Linked DNA regions of Stegostoma tigrinum. The protein of the gene in region 2 interacts with the protein of the main gene of each other region in a pairwise test. Links are inferred from orthologs where the notes say so. Each region holds a gene or a part of one and is shown on either strand. Other genes may lie near its edges.

Region 1 (8,325 bases), on a different chromosome or scaffold from region 2:
ACTTTGCAGTTTCTAAACTGCATTGGAAAACTACACTGCTACTATTCAAGTCATACATTTTCTAAACTCTGCATTTTAACAGTTTCCCACTTCCTCCCCTTCACCCCACCCACCCCCCAAAAATGATTTATGTGCTACAAAAAAAAACTATGTACACAGGTAGTAAAATCAGCCAAGTGATAAAGGAAGAACCTAATTGCACAGCGCTATATCCACTCTAAAATCAGCGGTTTAGTGTTCACAAGTTCAGTGCCTGGGCTCTCCACACTTGGAGAGATAACGATATGTCTGTCTCTGAGGAGATCGTCCTCGCTTCATCAAGCACTGCCATGGATGAACAAGGGGGAAAAAAAAGGATCTTCATACCTAACAAGGAAAAATACAAAGTAAAAAGATTAATACAATGTTTGGTAATTATGTATCATTGGAATTACTTAAAATGCTATTTGGCATAGCTACACTGATAATTTCAACTCAGCTGCTGATTACAGGGTACAGTTGGCAAAAGGGTTAAGCAATTGGTTATTCAACTGGACACTGAGCCAACTAATACCATTAGTGCTAAGACTTGTGCACAGATATGATCATGTTATTAACATGATATTTCAATATTTGATTTAAAAATCTAGCAACTGGACAAGTTACACTGCCTGGAAGTAATCAAAAAATGCATTTGTCAGCATGGTGGGACTTTAGACACAAGAACCACATTTAACTAGTTGCTATAATTTTCAAATGCACAAATATGTATTACTTGTTATTGAATATAGTTAGCTGTGGTGCATCCAGGCCTTTCCTTTAAAAAGCAAACTGATTTGCTTTGGGCCAGGGGGGAGATATGGTGAGTGTGGCAGCACTACCTGAAAGAAAGTCACCTATATAGGTTTCTTAAAGAGAGAGTTTTTGGATCTGACTAGTTAGACCTACCAACTTAAAGAAATATCACAACTGCACAGGGCAATATATCTGTAGTCTAATTAGGATGTTTTAAAATCTCAGTGCAAACACACCTTGTTCTATCTGAAACTGATACAGAAGACAGTTTAGCATACACAATACTTCACAAAAAGTAGTGGACAATATTTTCAATGCACGACTTTGACTACGAATGTGGACAGAGCCAAGAAATAAGCATCTCCATTAAATTTTAATTTGTTGAGACTAGCTATTTAAAAAGCTAGCTTCCCCACCACACCCCTTGTTTGTATATTAAACCTGAGTGTACACCACATAGTCCCGCCACTCACATTTTACTACAACTTATAAAATCATAGGGGAAATGAGAGAAACGTTAAAATATATGTGCCATGCAGCTATTCTACAACCTTGGACTCAACCGCAAGTGTAATTTTGAATGCTGCTTGTACATCAGCCGGGGAGATAAAGAACAGCTTCCTCCTGTGATCTGTTTTTAATCGTGATTATTTCTTGTTTTATTGTATTAATGTTGGAAGTTGGCGTAAAGGGAAAAAATGCCCAATGTATAAAGCCTACAAAGACACATTACAGTTGTGGTTGCGCACTCCCCCGCGTAATGTACTACGTTTTCGCAGTCAGTCCTGAGACTTTATTGACAAGACTTGTGCAAAGCAATCTACCGTATTGTGGAGGGAAGGAAAGGACACCCAAGATGTTTAACTTGTGCAGAACGCTACAGTGTATCTGGTTATTTGAAAACAGCTGGAAATAATCACCTGTGCATACGTGTCGGTCAGAAAATATAGCAAAGAAACACGAGTGACATTACAACCCTGTGTACGCTTTCAAACCTGGGCCAGTGAGGCCAACCGGTTAATGCAGTATAAAGTCTTGTTGCTACCTTTGTTGTTATATGATATTTTGGGAGGAGACAGTCAATTGAAAAAAGGTACAGAAGAGCTACCTTGTCACTTTTGCTTTATGTTTGATGCCCGCTCGAAATCGATTTCTTCGGCGTCTTCTCTAATGTATTTATATTGGGAGAATTTGCTGACCAGTCTGACTCCGTCGCTGTGTTGGTTCTTTTTGCTTCTGGAAAGCCATCTATAATCAAGAAAAGCTAAATTAAAATTTGTAAAAAAAAATTCAGTATGATAGTATATTATGTGCGTTACTCCTTAATGAAGGTTCGTCGTGCTGATGGGTAGTAGTCAACCACATCTCAAGCTTGTTGAAGGGGGGAGAAAAGCCGTTTGCTTCATCTTTGTAAAAGGCCTTTGAAGTTGCAGTATCCTTTTTCAAACGTAGGGGAACTCATGCTTAACCCCAAACAGACCAAGAACTGCACGATTTTAAAAGCAGGTCCGCGGAAATATGTGAATAAACCACTGGTTGGCAGTGAAAGCTTCTTTTTGCGCGAAAAAAAAGGTCAGAAAGGTCCGTTTGAAAATGGATCCTGCAACTCCCAATAGAGTACATCTTTGTCACTTACCGACTGACGCAGCTCGTTTTCGGGGACTACAGCACTGCTCTTTTGAGTCCGTGAAATGTTCAGTTGTCTCTTTAACCACGTCCTTTTGCTCTGAATTCGCAAAGTGTGTCTCCCCTGAATTTCCCTGAGCCAGAGTTCCTGCGCAAACTATCGCATGGTTCCCGTTCACATCCATACTGCAATCGGCTGATGACACTTGCTCCCTGGGAGAACCCCAGTAAAAATGAGGCACATCCTTGCAATCCACGGCTTCCCATTTGTAATTCCCATCCAGCGGCTTGTCCCTCTCGAAGTCGTAATTCCACCTCCGCCTGTCCTGCTCGCGGATCTCCTTCTGTTTCTTTTGTAACTCTCGGTTCAACTCGTCGTGGTTTACGGGACCGAAAAGATTCCTGCAGGCTGAAGGTTTTGGGTGCCCTCCTTGCTGAGCTGCCATTCTCTCCAGCGAAGGGCTACCATTAGAAATGCGTACGTTTGACATTTTTTTTCCCTTCGTACCCCCTCTCGCTGCAAATCGTCCGAAGCCTCACAGACAGCAGGACTGCAAGGTTACACGATGTAACAATATCGTGCAATTCTTCAGAAAGCTGCAAAGCACAGAACCACAACAAAAACGCCAACAACAGCAGCAGTTTACAACCTATCGCTCGTCAAAACTGATTCCAGTAAGGCGGAAAAAAAACTGGCTTTTTTTTCAGTTACCCAATATGGCGAAGGAGGCTGACGAAGAGGAAACTGAGTGACGGACAGGGAATTTTAAAAAGAGAGCACCCTGCGATTGGCCGGAGTGAAGCTGCTCCGCCCTTGTCCCGCCCTCAAGTGTAGGGCTGGGACTCGGGAACGAGCTTGCTCTAGGCTGGGAGCGACCTTGTAATGATCTAAAAACGTTTTGTTTATTGACAAGCAATCTCTCTCTTCTCTCCCCCTCCCTCCTCGAAGGGAGAGTGAGAGGTAGGCGCCTATGGAGAAGTATTAGCGAAGCGTGAAACCTACTAAAGAGGAGTCAGCTCGTAGCGCCATCAACCCGACAGCCGCAGCAAACACAGCTCTCCCGCAGCAAACGTGAATTCTCCTACATATTGCATCACTTAGATTCATTGAAGTGACTTTATACCGACTATTAGGGACATTAAAAAAAACATATGACAGCGTAGGAGTGCATTTGGTCCATCGTTTCCGTACTAGACGGGTAAACGTCATCCAGCCTCCCTCCCAGCTTCCAACTCTTGGTCCGTAGCCCTGGACGATAGGGCAGCTCATGAGCACATCCAAGTGTTTTGTTTATAAACCAGCTATCCTACACCTCAAAATGCACATTACTAATTGTTAAAATCCTACAAATGCAGCAAACACCTCGCAATAAATGATCGAGAGTAATCAGGCTATTCATGAAAATTGCTCTCGATGAATGCTCAGACATCCCAAAACTGGAGAATTTTCAGTGAGATGAATGATTTCGCTAATGATTGAGCACAGCCGCAGCACGCATGACCAACCGAGTAACTTTACTGGAAAGTGCTCAAGGGGTTAACAGTGTGTCGGTTATATTTTAAAATCTTAACTGGTTTCCTTTTATGCGACGTAAACATGTTTCTTGGCGGAATTTTTTTAACTCCGATCTTGGACTTTCTGCCAATAACCGCTCTCAATTGTGCAGTTTACCACTTTTGTGGATTAATCATCTGAAACTGGCCGGGTGAGTGCAGAATAAAGGCTATGAAACAATAGTAATGTAGTCGAATTCACAAAATACGGGGTTCTCTTTCTATTTTAAAATATTAACGTGGGTGAGAGTTTGTAAATCATATTTTCATTGTAGATACTGTAGTTTAACTGGCAACTCGTGTCTCCCTTCAGCAATACAGCAGGTGACTGCACAGAGTGCTAAAAGGGCGCGTCAGAAATTATGATGTCGTTTTCAAGAATTAAACATAACCGTAAAAACGTCTTGTAGTTGATTTCTCGGCAGTTGTTTGAGAGCCTTCTAGACGCATTCATAGCTGTTACAAGGTGTTATGTTTAGGAGCTACCCAAGACATCCAGGGATCGCTTTTCGAGACTCGATACGTAAAGGCGACTTTTCCTTCACCTCAGTGTATGTAGTATTTGGGAAACGAAATGAAGACTCAGATCTCACTGTAAAACATGTTCTGTGATTGTATTCCAAGAAAACAGTCAATTTTGGTAAACATTAGGACGTCAACAGAACTGAAATGCAGAGGTCGATCTCACTGTTTGCACATTAATTGCGCTGTGTTTACTTATAAATACTGGGCGCAGCAAAGAAAAATATGAACGGTCTTGATTGTAATGAGGTCGCAAGACAAAAGCTAGAAAGTAACTGATTCAGAAAGTATTTTCAGTGTAAATTATCATTGCTTAGAATTGTTTTATTGTGCTTCGCAATCACACCTAGTATATTTTTGAATCACTCTTTTGGGGACACTGCAGGGAAAGGGCAAACGCCGTATTTGTGTTTCTCTCGGATAAACGACGACTCCTTTGGTAAAACCGTGGAGTAATTTGTAATGTGTTTCAAGATGTATCGCCCAAACAAAGCTGACACAAAGTAAATAAATCTCCGATTTACCCAGAGCACATTTTCCAAATGTAGTTACAATCAGTCTTAGTACACTTGAGCATTATATCCCGCCCCATCTTCGGGGGGCGGGGGGGCGGTGGTGGCTTATAATGCATGCGGAATCACCGATTCTTATATAAGACAAACTTCAGAGAGGTTATCTTAACCATTATGAGTTATTCTTATTAGTTAAAGTACAGCATTTACCCCTGTCACTCAATAATCTAATTTGCGCCAAATTCTGTTAAATCCTTGACAGCGAAACGGGAACGGGATAGTGGAATAGGGAAGAATATCAATGGAGCGTCCAACATTCAGTTAGGATTTTGCATATGAATTGCTATGGGCACATATAGCAGTAGTCTCATATTTGATCTAGCCATTGAAGGATTGTTTATCTCTGTAAAGCCATTCAGACAAGGCATCGGATCGTTGCATTTGTTGCACCTCAATAGCTATGCTGAATTTTGCAACCATGTGCATGACAGTTTGTTGCAAGTTCTTAATGATTGTAATATGGGGAGAATAGAATATGAACCCAACCCAAAACAAAAAAAAACAGCTTATATACGTATATAAATAGGAAAGACAAATGTGGGTCCATGACAAACAGATATGGGGTAATTTATAATGGGAATGGGTACAAGAAATTTCCCAGAAATAATAGTTCAAAGAAACTAATGAATTGAAGAACTGAAAAAAAGGTGTGGTTTAAAAAAATGTAGTCCTGCAGAATTACTGGGACTGAAAATTGAATTGCTGGGATCCAATAATCCACAACCTAGAGTATTGAAAGAGGTGGCTTTAGAGAGAGTGGATGCATTTGTTGTCATCTTTCAAGATTCTATTGATTCTGTATAATACTTCCAAATTGTAAACGTTGAAATATAATGTCATTACTTAAGAAAAACAGCAAAGAGAAAATAAGGCACTGCAGGTGTGGTAGCCTGACATCAGTGATAGGAAAAATAGTGGACTCTATAAAATGTATGGTAGCTGATAATCATCCAATTGGTCAGTGTGAACATGGACGTATGAAATGAAAATCATAATGACAAACGTGTTGGAGTTTTTTTTAGTTGGTAGTGGGGAGCTATTGGACTAGTGAATCTTGTGCACTTGGATTCTGAGAAGCTTGTTGGTAAAGTACCACCTAGGATATTAGTGAGGAAAATTAGAGCATGTGGGATAAAGGGCAATATACTAGCATGGATTGAATCTGGTTAACAGAAAGAAACAGATGGGTAAAAGATTAGTGTTTGGGCCCTAGGTGTTCACAATCTATGTCAATGATTTGGAAATGAGGACCAAATGTAATATTTCTAAGTTTGCTGATCGCACATAACTAAGTGGGAATCTAAATTGTGAGGAGGATACAAAGAATGGGAAAAAATATGGCAGATGGAATTTAATATGAATAAGTGTGAGATTATTCACTTGTGATAGGAATAATGAGGTGCATAGTATTTCTTCAGAAATTGAGCAGTGTTTATGCCCAAAGGGGAAAATGGTCCTTGTTCATAAGTCACTGATAGATGACATACAGATGCGGCAAGCAATCAGGAAGGTGAATGGCATGTTGGATTCTATTACAAGAGGATTTGAGTAAACAGTAAAAATGTTTTGTTTCAATTGTATAGAACCTTGGTGAGACCATATCTGAAGTATTGTGTATAATTTGGTCACCTTATCTAAGGAAGGATATACATGCTGTAGAGGGAACTCCAGAGTTTCCCCAGATTAATTCCTGTAATTGAGGACTGATTGAGGAGGCTGGGCCTATGTTCACTAACATTTAGAAATGTACAAATTTTTTAAAGAACTGGACAAGTTGGGTGTGGAACAATATTTCCCCTAGCTGGGAAAGTGGAGGTGTTAGTCTAAAAGAATTTTCTGCCACACAGGGCACTGTTGCATTATGTTCAAGGCATAAGTTAATAGATTTCTAACATCAAGTGTTATGGGGATAGAGTGGAATGATTGGATTGATGTAGATGATCAGCCATGATCAAATTTAGTGGAATGAACCCAAGTGAATGGTCTACTCTTGCTCCAATGTTCCCATACACTAATATTTTGGAACATTGTCGGAGCCTTCAAAAATGTCTCAGATTGGAATATGGGGAAGAAAATTTTGAAAGAGTCCCAAGTAGAGAAGAAAATAAATCAACAGAAAGAAAAGCAGGAAGGGGAAACACAAAGGGTGAGAAATGAACAATGGGGCAACAATCCAGACATAGGAGTGTATTCAAGGGTGAAGAGATGGTGGATATCATGCATTATGTGGCCACCGGTGGGGAGTGCAGTGGTTATTGGATGGGTAGGAAAGTTATTGGAGGGATTTGAAAGAGAATCCAGTTCTTTGCAGCAGTAGGAAGCTACTTGAATTTGGTGGTGTAATGGTAATAAGGCCTTCATGTAGGAGATGGAATAGCTGTAACATTCTCAGTACCTGTGATTTTTAAATGATAGAATTGGGACAGTTATCATTGGAGGAGAGTAGTAATCGACCTATAAATGTATGGAATTGGGTTTTGATGGGAAAGAAAGACAGATGGGTAAAAGGCAGGCATTGTTGTAGAAGTGAAACAAAGGCGGCCTGGTGCGTGCTCGATTGACTATAGGGAAGGAAGCAGTTAAAGCTTGAACAGTACAGCATGAGGTAGCAGCCAAGGATAAGATACTGTAAAGTGTTTGCAGCAGCTGTAAAGGACAACTTGGTTCTGCTGGCATTAACTTGGAGAAGATATGTGATCATCCAGGGCTTTATGTTGAATACACAACCGAAAATGTGGATAACCATCATGACGAAAGAATATGATATAATTTATAAAATGGCATGGGTAATTATGTAACCCTAGTTGCACTAGAGATACTTGGGTATGGAAGGACAAATTGTTGGACATATTATCTATAATGTGACAGGATGGAGTCAGGACAGACGGTGTTACAGACATGAACTATGCACAGAGAAGGATAGCATGCCTAACAGGGTTTTGGAAGGATAGCATGCCTAACAGTGTTGAATAAATTACGAAGATTAAAGAGGATAAAATCAAAAAAAAATTGGACCCCTACAGTGCAGAAGTAAGCTATTAGACCAGAGGCCTATGCCAGTTCTTTGAAAGAGGTTTTTGCATAATCCATTTTGCCCCACCACAGTGGTGCTTTCCCTCTTAACCTTGTAATTTTTACCTTTTCAGGTATACTGTATTTCCATTTCTATTTTCAAGTCACTGTTTAATCTACTTCCATCACTCGATGAGAAGGAACAATCAGTCACAGTCCCAATTAAATAAGATACCTTCAAATACTATGTTTTCAAATACCATGT
Region 2 (7,318 bases):
AGCAGTTACTGGTTTCCTACTGACAGGAGGGCTGAATTATATTTAGACAAAAAACAGATCTCTGGTGTCAGGCAAGGCTTGCACTCTAGGCTTCTAACCCCAAGGCAGGACACCATCACTGCACCCCAATTGTGCATTTACAACCTGTCTTTTCATTAGAGTGTGAAGTGGTTAGGATGGTATATGGGATACCTTTATCCAATACTCTGGACTAGTAGGCAAGAACAAGGTGGTCATGATGGACCCGCATATAAAAAAGTATTACTTCAGCCAGAGCTGTGGTGCTGTATGCAGTTCTCGTTGCCACACTAAAAAGGTGATGTGACTGTACTAGAGGAGACAAAAGGAGGACGTTCGAGACTGGAGCAATTCAACTAAGGAGATTTAAAAAGTTGAACCCCGTGGGTGGTAGAGGGGGATGGGGAAGATGGAGAAAGGAGTTCTGCGAAGTCTGAACAGCAGGGACCAGACAACCTTCGTACTTAGATCAAGACCCAAAAAAATTAACCAATGAGCACTGAGTTGTGGACATCTGCCTAAGCGATAGCGATACAGGCAGAACCAAAGCAAGACATTCAAAAATGGTACCAGGTGTTCACCAAATGCTATAGGGTGCAAAGCTAACAGCCAAGAACTGGAAAATGTTATTAGATTAAATGGCTGTTAAAATGACTGGTATGAACGGCATCCGAAGAGGTGCCAGGACCCAGACACTGATTTACCCAAATAAATTGGGCTCTTAAGTCTTCCAAATCTCAGAATTTGAGTAGAATTCCTACCTGTAGAAGGCCAGGAGTTGGACTGGAATTTTACCCAGGCAAAAAAGATACATACCATCGCCAGGTTTCCCATTTGTCCATCGATCCCTTCCTCTTTCAAAAACTGCGTTAGGAACTGGTTAACTGTTGGGACAGTCATGTCAAAGCTCAACACCTTGAGTAGGAGATGCTCCATGCGCAGGAGTTGTTTTTTTGTGTAAGTGTCATCTGTTATGTAGACAAACTCATCTATTTCCGGGGGATAGATTTCTTCGTATTTCCTAGGGGGGAAGTGTACAAATTGATCGTTCGAGATTAAGTTTGTATTAAAATTGCCGAGATTACGCAATCTGCGCATTCCTCCAGCCACGATTGTTTTAAGTTTGCGCTCAGATAGCGACTTGACAAGTTTCCCACGCTAGAATTAAAAAAGAAAGACTTACGATGCTACCAGCATAGCTGCTGTGCCCACCAGTTGCAGCTTTCCCCTCAGGACTGACATACACGACAGGAATCTGTCCAGGTAGTTTATTGCTAAGTACAGTGTCTCAGTTTGTAGGTTGTACTCCTCACCAACTTCAACTAGCCAATCCACCAGAATTGAGCGCATACTGTGCGTTATATCTGGTTGCTTCTTCATATACCCAAATTTCGGTCTGCATTTCTCCTGAAAAATAAACACTTTCAACGATTAACGCCAAGTTGGGCGGATGAGAAAAGCCGAATTGCTAGAGTGACAAGTCCTGGTGCAGAATTAAAAATTCATCCCACAGGGAATGAACTGGGAGCCTACGAATTTGAAGGGCGGAGACTACGAGTCTAAGTCTGCTCTGAAATCCAGACAAACACTGCTTAGTGCTACTAGATTATTTCCTGTAGTCCAACTGCAGCGGAGTTGGACGCCTGGAGATTAAGAGTGAGTGAAACAAAAGCAGTTTCATAAGCGATACAGACTTTCTCGTAGTTAAATCTTGTTTCGAAGTAGATTTCGCAGCAGGCGAGTTTTGAATGCCCAAGTGGAAAAAACTCAGGACAACTAGCACTATGACCAAAGCCAGCGGAGAACCGCGAAGGACATACAGTCAGCCGAAAATGTTGTTATTTCAATAAACATTAAAGCGCATGCTGCTGAGACTCACTTCTGCCTCTCGGAGATACCGATAAATGTCTTCTGCATAGCCTTCCACGGCGAGGTAATTTACGTGTAGATGCGAATCTTCATGTGAACGCTGCGAGCGCATTGATGAATCTACTATCATAGGCGAGACTGTACAGACGACATAAACATTGAACGGCCAATGAAGGTTTGGGAACAGAATGCTTCGAACACGTGTACAAAGTAGAACTAGGGCTATGTACTCGAATGGTAAAGTTTTGAACCCAATCGTGTTAGTAGCGAAAATAAAACGGATGCAGTAACGTAATCTATATTTTAGAAGGCAACGCGATTAAAAAAAGCTCAAATCGAGCGATAACAAATTTAGCTCGCGTCTCGCAATTACCTTCACTCAGATCCAAGAGCAGACAGTAGTCGTCTGCTGGTTTGGAGATGTTGCCAACTTCTCCAAGTTTAGATTCCAGTTCAGAGGTCAAGTTACATTCAGAGACTTCGACCTCATCTTGGACTTCATCCTCCATGTAAATGGAGAAGTTCGGGTTGGACACAAAAGTAGCCGGATATTCCGAGAGGGTGCTGCAGCCTTTCGAAGTGAACCCATTGTCAGTCCCCACTGCAATGGTGCTGCAAGCTTTCGCTGAAACCTAATGAAACGCATTAGGTGTTGAGGGGGGGGGGGGGGGGGGGGTGCGGAGAAAAGGGAAATTCAAGGTCAGATAGTTTGCAAAACGGCCGAAATCGCCCAAGAGCTCCAAACGATAGATTTAAATAGCAGAGCTCCGAACATTCCGGGGGGGGGGGGGGGGGGGAGAATGGAAGCCCCAGGAATAGCGGATTTACTGAAGAGGTTACCTGAGAAAGTGAACGTCTCTGCTGGTCATTCTCATTTAGCACCCCTAAAACGGTCCTTTGCTTTTGGCTAACTGGGCCCATCTGCGGGACAAGATGTTGATTTTCTTGATTAGCATTGCGCTTGACAGCAGCGGAATTACTCCTGTACATGGTGGCTACATACATAAATTAAACAGCACCAACAAAAAAATTAGCTCGCACAATTTTTTTTTTCCGCCGTTCAGCTCTAAGCAATACCCTCTCAGATCACACTTATGAGTGTGTAAGAGCTTGCCTGAAGCCAGCCTATATAGCGGAGTGACTCTAATTAGTCTCCGGGCGAAAAGCAGCTCCCTCCACTCCCATCGTGTAGCAAATTACTTTCAAGCAGCCCGCGTCTATTAAATCGCACCAATCACCTTCCGTTATTGGCGCACGTGAGCTTCGTCTCCCCGGTGCCATGGTAACGCAGCACGCTCCCGGCTGCCACCTGACTTCCGTATGTTCTGCGGCTGCGTGTTACCAAGGCGACAAAGAAGTAGCATCTTTGGGAAAGAATTGAGCGCTCGACATTCTGTACCCCGCAGGATGCGGCACGAAAACTGGGGAGACTTTCTCCGAAGGCCTTTGTTTTTCAAAATATAAGATCCGAAACCCTTTTCCTGCCGTATCTATCCAATCCTTAAGGCGCTTCCACGGGAACCGTTGTAAATGTCTTTTTCCGGCTTCACCCATTTTCCACGAGTTTCTGGGTGGGATCGGAGGTAGAAAACAATATGCAAAAGATGGACGACAACTTTTTCCACATAATCTTGTGGCGCAAAATGCTTGGTGCTGGTTTTGATCATGGACTGAATGGTGGGGGTTGCATTTATAGGCCCAAAGTGGTATAGTACGACTTCAAGTATGAATCGCATAGGATTAGTTTTTAGCGAGGAAGTTGGTTATTGTAAGCGTTAGAAGCGTGCAGAGTCGGCAGATCTTAGTGCCAGACCCGGGAGTCCAATGCTTCATGCAATCGGCTGTCATAAATACAGATAGCTGAATAAGCAGAGATAATGGGAACTGCAGATGCTGGAGAATTCCAAGATAATAAAATGTGACCCTTAGGGTCTAGGCCCGAAACGTCAGCTTTTGTGCTCCTGAGATGCTGCTTGGCCTGCTGTGTTCATCCAGCCTCACATTTTATTAGCTGAATAAGCATTCGGCAACAGGAAGACCAACTACCACAACCACCCCAACCCCCACCAAATTAGTGCTATTAACAGATAATTTAACAATTTCTGAAGAACGGTCTAGGCCCGAAACGTCAACTTTCCTGCTCCTCTGATGCTGCTTGGCCTTCTGTGTTCATCCAGCTCTACACCTTATTATCTAATAATTAAAGTGTTTGTTTTGACTCTTGCCGTGGATCGTTCCCCAGGTATTACAACCCAAGCCTAAAGTCAAAATCAACAAGGTAAAATTAAATATAAAATAAGGTGACTATTGGAAGCTGGGAGTTCTACTACATATATCACAATTAAAATGAACTTAAATACAATGTCAAACTATGTGGGTTAACATTACAATTAAAACATTGTTAATCAACATCAGCATCCATCACCAATTCTAAATCATGTGAGAATAAATTCTGGAAAATTGGACAGATTGGGGTTGTTTTTCTTGGAAGTGAAGACCATAAGATACAGGAGCAGAATTTGGCCATACGGCCCATAGAGTCTGCTCCACCAATAGATCGTAGCTGACATGTTTTCCAACACTATGTTTATGCCCTTCCCCCATAACCCTAGACCCACTCCCCAATAAAGAACCTATCTATTTCTGTCTTAAATAGAGTCAATGACTCAGCCTCCTCAGCCCTCTGTGGCAATGAGCTCCACAGATTAACCATCAATTGTCTGAGGAAGTTCCTCCCCATCTCAGTTCCCAAAGGTTGTCCCTTCATGCTGAGGCTATTCTCTTGGATCCTAGTCTCTCCTATTAGTGCCAATACTTCCTTCATGACCTCTAGGTCCAGGCTTCTAAGTATTCTGTGAGTTTCAATCAGATCCCCTATCCTAGACTTTGTGTATAGTTCCAGAGTGCTCAATGGCTCATCCCTGGGATAATTTCTGTAAACATCTTCTGAACTACCTCCAGTGCAAGCGCATCTTTTCTTACATATGGGGCGCAAAACTACTCAATATTTCAAATGTGGTCTGACCAGAGCCTTAGATAGCATCAGCAGTATATCTCTGCTCTTAAAGTATTAAAGCCTTCTAGAAATGAATGCTAACATTGCATTTGCCTTTCTAAATACCAATTAACCTAAATGTTAACCTTAAGAGAATCCTGAACTTGAATCCCCAAGTCCATTTATATTTCAGATTTCCAAAACCTTTCCCCACTTTGAAAATAGTCTATGCTTCTATTCTTCTTTCCAATGTCCACACCCTCACACTTTATCACATTGTATTCTATTTGCCACTTCTTTGCCCTCTTTCCAAGACTGTTCTAATCTTTCTGCAACCTCCCTGCTTCCCCAACACTACGTGTCCCTCCACTTATCTTTGCGTTATCTGCAAACATAGCAACAATATCTCAGTTCCTTCATCTAGATCATTAATATATAACAGAATAATTGTGGTTCCAACAAGGACCTCTGCAGAACCCCAACAGTCACCAGCTACTATCCTGAGAAAGGTCCATTCATCCTTACTCTCTGCCTTCTGCAAATCAGCCAATCCTCTCTCCGTGCTAGTACCTTACCCCCAATACCAGTAGGTCCTGTCTTATTTAGCATCCTCATATGCGGGTTGTTAAAGGCCTTCTAGAAATCCAAATGGATCATGTTTACTTGCTCATTACCTGTACCTTTGACAAAGCCTTGCCAACTCAGCCCTATTTTATCAAACACTTCAACCGAAACCTGCATCTCCTTTCTAGCTGATTAATGATTTAACAGCCATATTAGGTTTATTCAATACATTCACATCAGTTCAATGACACTTTGATCTTTGGTTTTAAATTCTGCATCTGATGCCACCATTCACTAACACCTGAAGAAGGAGCGAGACTCTGAAACCTTGTGTTTTCAAATAAACCTGTTGAACTATCACTTGGTGTCATGTGATTTTTGACCTTGTCCATTCCAGTCCAATGCCTGGTTGAGTAGGAAACTCAACTTATATCAAAGATTTCATTGGCAGGAGAATTAAGTATAAGGGTCGCGAGGTTATGCTACAGCTCTATAAACCCTGGTTAGACCACACTTGGAATATTGTGTTCAGTTCTGGTCACCTCATTGTAGAAAGGATGTGGAAGCTTTAGAAAGGGTGCAGAGGAGATTTACCAGGATCCTGCTTGAACTGGAGTAGAGGTCTTATAAGGAAAGTTTAAGGGAGCTAGGGCTTTTCTCATCGGAGCAAAGAAGGATGACAAGTGACTTGATAGAGGTGTACAAGATGATGGAAAGGCATAGATAGAGTGGATAGCCAGTGACTTTTACCTAGGATGGAAATGACTATTATGAGGGGGCACATTTTTAAGGCAATTGGAGGAAGATATAGGGGAGATGTCAGAGATAGGTTCTTTACACAGAGAGTGGTGGGTGTGTGGAATGCACTGCCGGAGGTGGTAGTTTAGTCAGGTACATTAGGGGCATTTAAGTGACTTTTGGATAGGTACATGGATGATCATAAAATGTAGGGTATGCAGAGTAGTTTGATTTCAGAGTAGGATAATAGGTCAGCATGATATTGTGGGCTGACGGGCCTGTACTGTTCTATGTTCTATGTTTTAAAGATAGAAAATGCTGGAGAAACTCAGGAGCATTTCATCAGAAACTCCAGCACTGTTCTGGTGCCCATTTGCTTTATTAGGACATAGTTAGACTTATAGGTGGAGCTCCACTTCCAGCAAAAACGACTACGATATTTATCATTCTTATTAACCCCCCAGACTAAAACTGTTCAGAAATACTTTGAAGAGTTCTAAAAGTCTTGAAACTTTAACTCTGTTTCTCTCTCCACAGATGTTGCCAACCTGCTGAATTTCTTCAGAATCCTGTTTGGTTCAATTTCCTGTGTCTGCAGTGTTTTGCTTTCATTTGACCCTCAACTTTTACGCAATATTTAGATATTCACTTCCATTGGCATAGCTTCCAGTATTATGGTCCAAGAGATGGAACATGGGATTAGTGTGAGTCTGATCTTTGTTGAATGCTTCAGACATATTGGTATCATTTTGTACTGTAAATGTCTGAATCTGCCTGGTAAAATTCTCAGCTTTAGATTATAATGCTTATTTAATGGTACTTGGTCATGTCTGCTTTCATTTCCACAAATTGGCTTCCTCATTCATATCTTTTGATTAAACTAAGTTGTCTATTTCATTTTCTCACACATTTTTCAACCCCAGTATCTTAATTGGATTAATGCATAATCTTATACACCCCTCAGCTGTTTGGTTGCTAATAAAATTTTTGAGGATGTGAGTAGACTGACAGCTGTAGCTCCACTTAACTTCCGGAAAAAAATGACTACAACATTTATCTTCGTCATAAAACAGTTAACTGCAAATACTGGAAATCTGAGACAAACAAAAACAGAAATTGCTGGAGAAACCCAGC

Evidence for each region.
Region 1: the proteins of ccna1 (region 2) and cdkn1bb interact in binary tests that used the Homo sapiens proteins (3 or more experiments, as listed by UniProt). The link is inferred for Stegostoma tigrinum from reciprocal best matches to the Homo sapiens genes CCNA1 and CDKN1B.

Annotation. Positions count from the first base shown.
Region 1 is NC_081371.1:28,399,681-28,408,005, reverse strand, and holds the start of cdkn1bb (cyclin dependent kinase inhibitor 1Bb), read right to left. Parts: upstream 3,229-8,325; 5' UTR 2,892-3,228; coding exon 2,411-2,891; intron 2,023-2,410; coding exon 1,898-2,022; 3' UTR 1,883-1,897; intron 367-1,882; 3' UTR 1-366. UniProt on the Homo sapiens protein: Important regulator of cell cycle progression. Inhibits the kinase activity of CDK2 bound to cyclin A, but has little inhibitory activity on CDK2 bound to SPDYA. Involved in G1 arrest. Potent inhibitor of cyclin E- and cyclin A-CDK2 complexes.
Region 2 is NC_081359.1:85,059,828-85,067,145, reverse strand, and holds the start of ccna1 (cyclin-A1), read right to left. Parts: upstream 3,066-7,318; 5' UTR 2,893-3,065; coding exon 2,728-2,892; intron 2,520-2,727; coding exon 2,261-2,519; intron 2,026-2,260; coding exon 1,898-2,025; intron 1,426-1,897; coding exon 1,202-1,425; intron 1,040-1,201; coding exon 835-1,039; intron 1-834. UniProt on the Homo sapiens protein: May be involved in the control of the cell cycle at the G1/S (start) and G2/M (mitosis) transitions. May primarily function in the control of the germline meiotic cell cycle and additionally in the control of mitotic cell cycle in some somatic cells.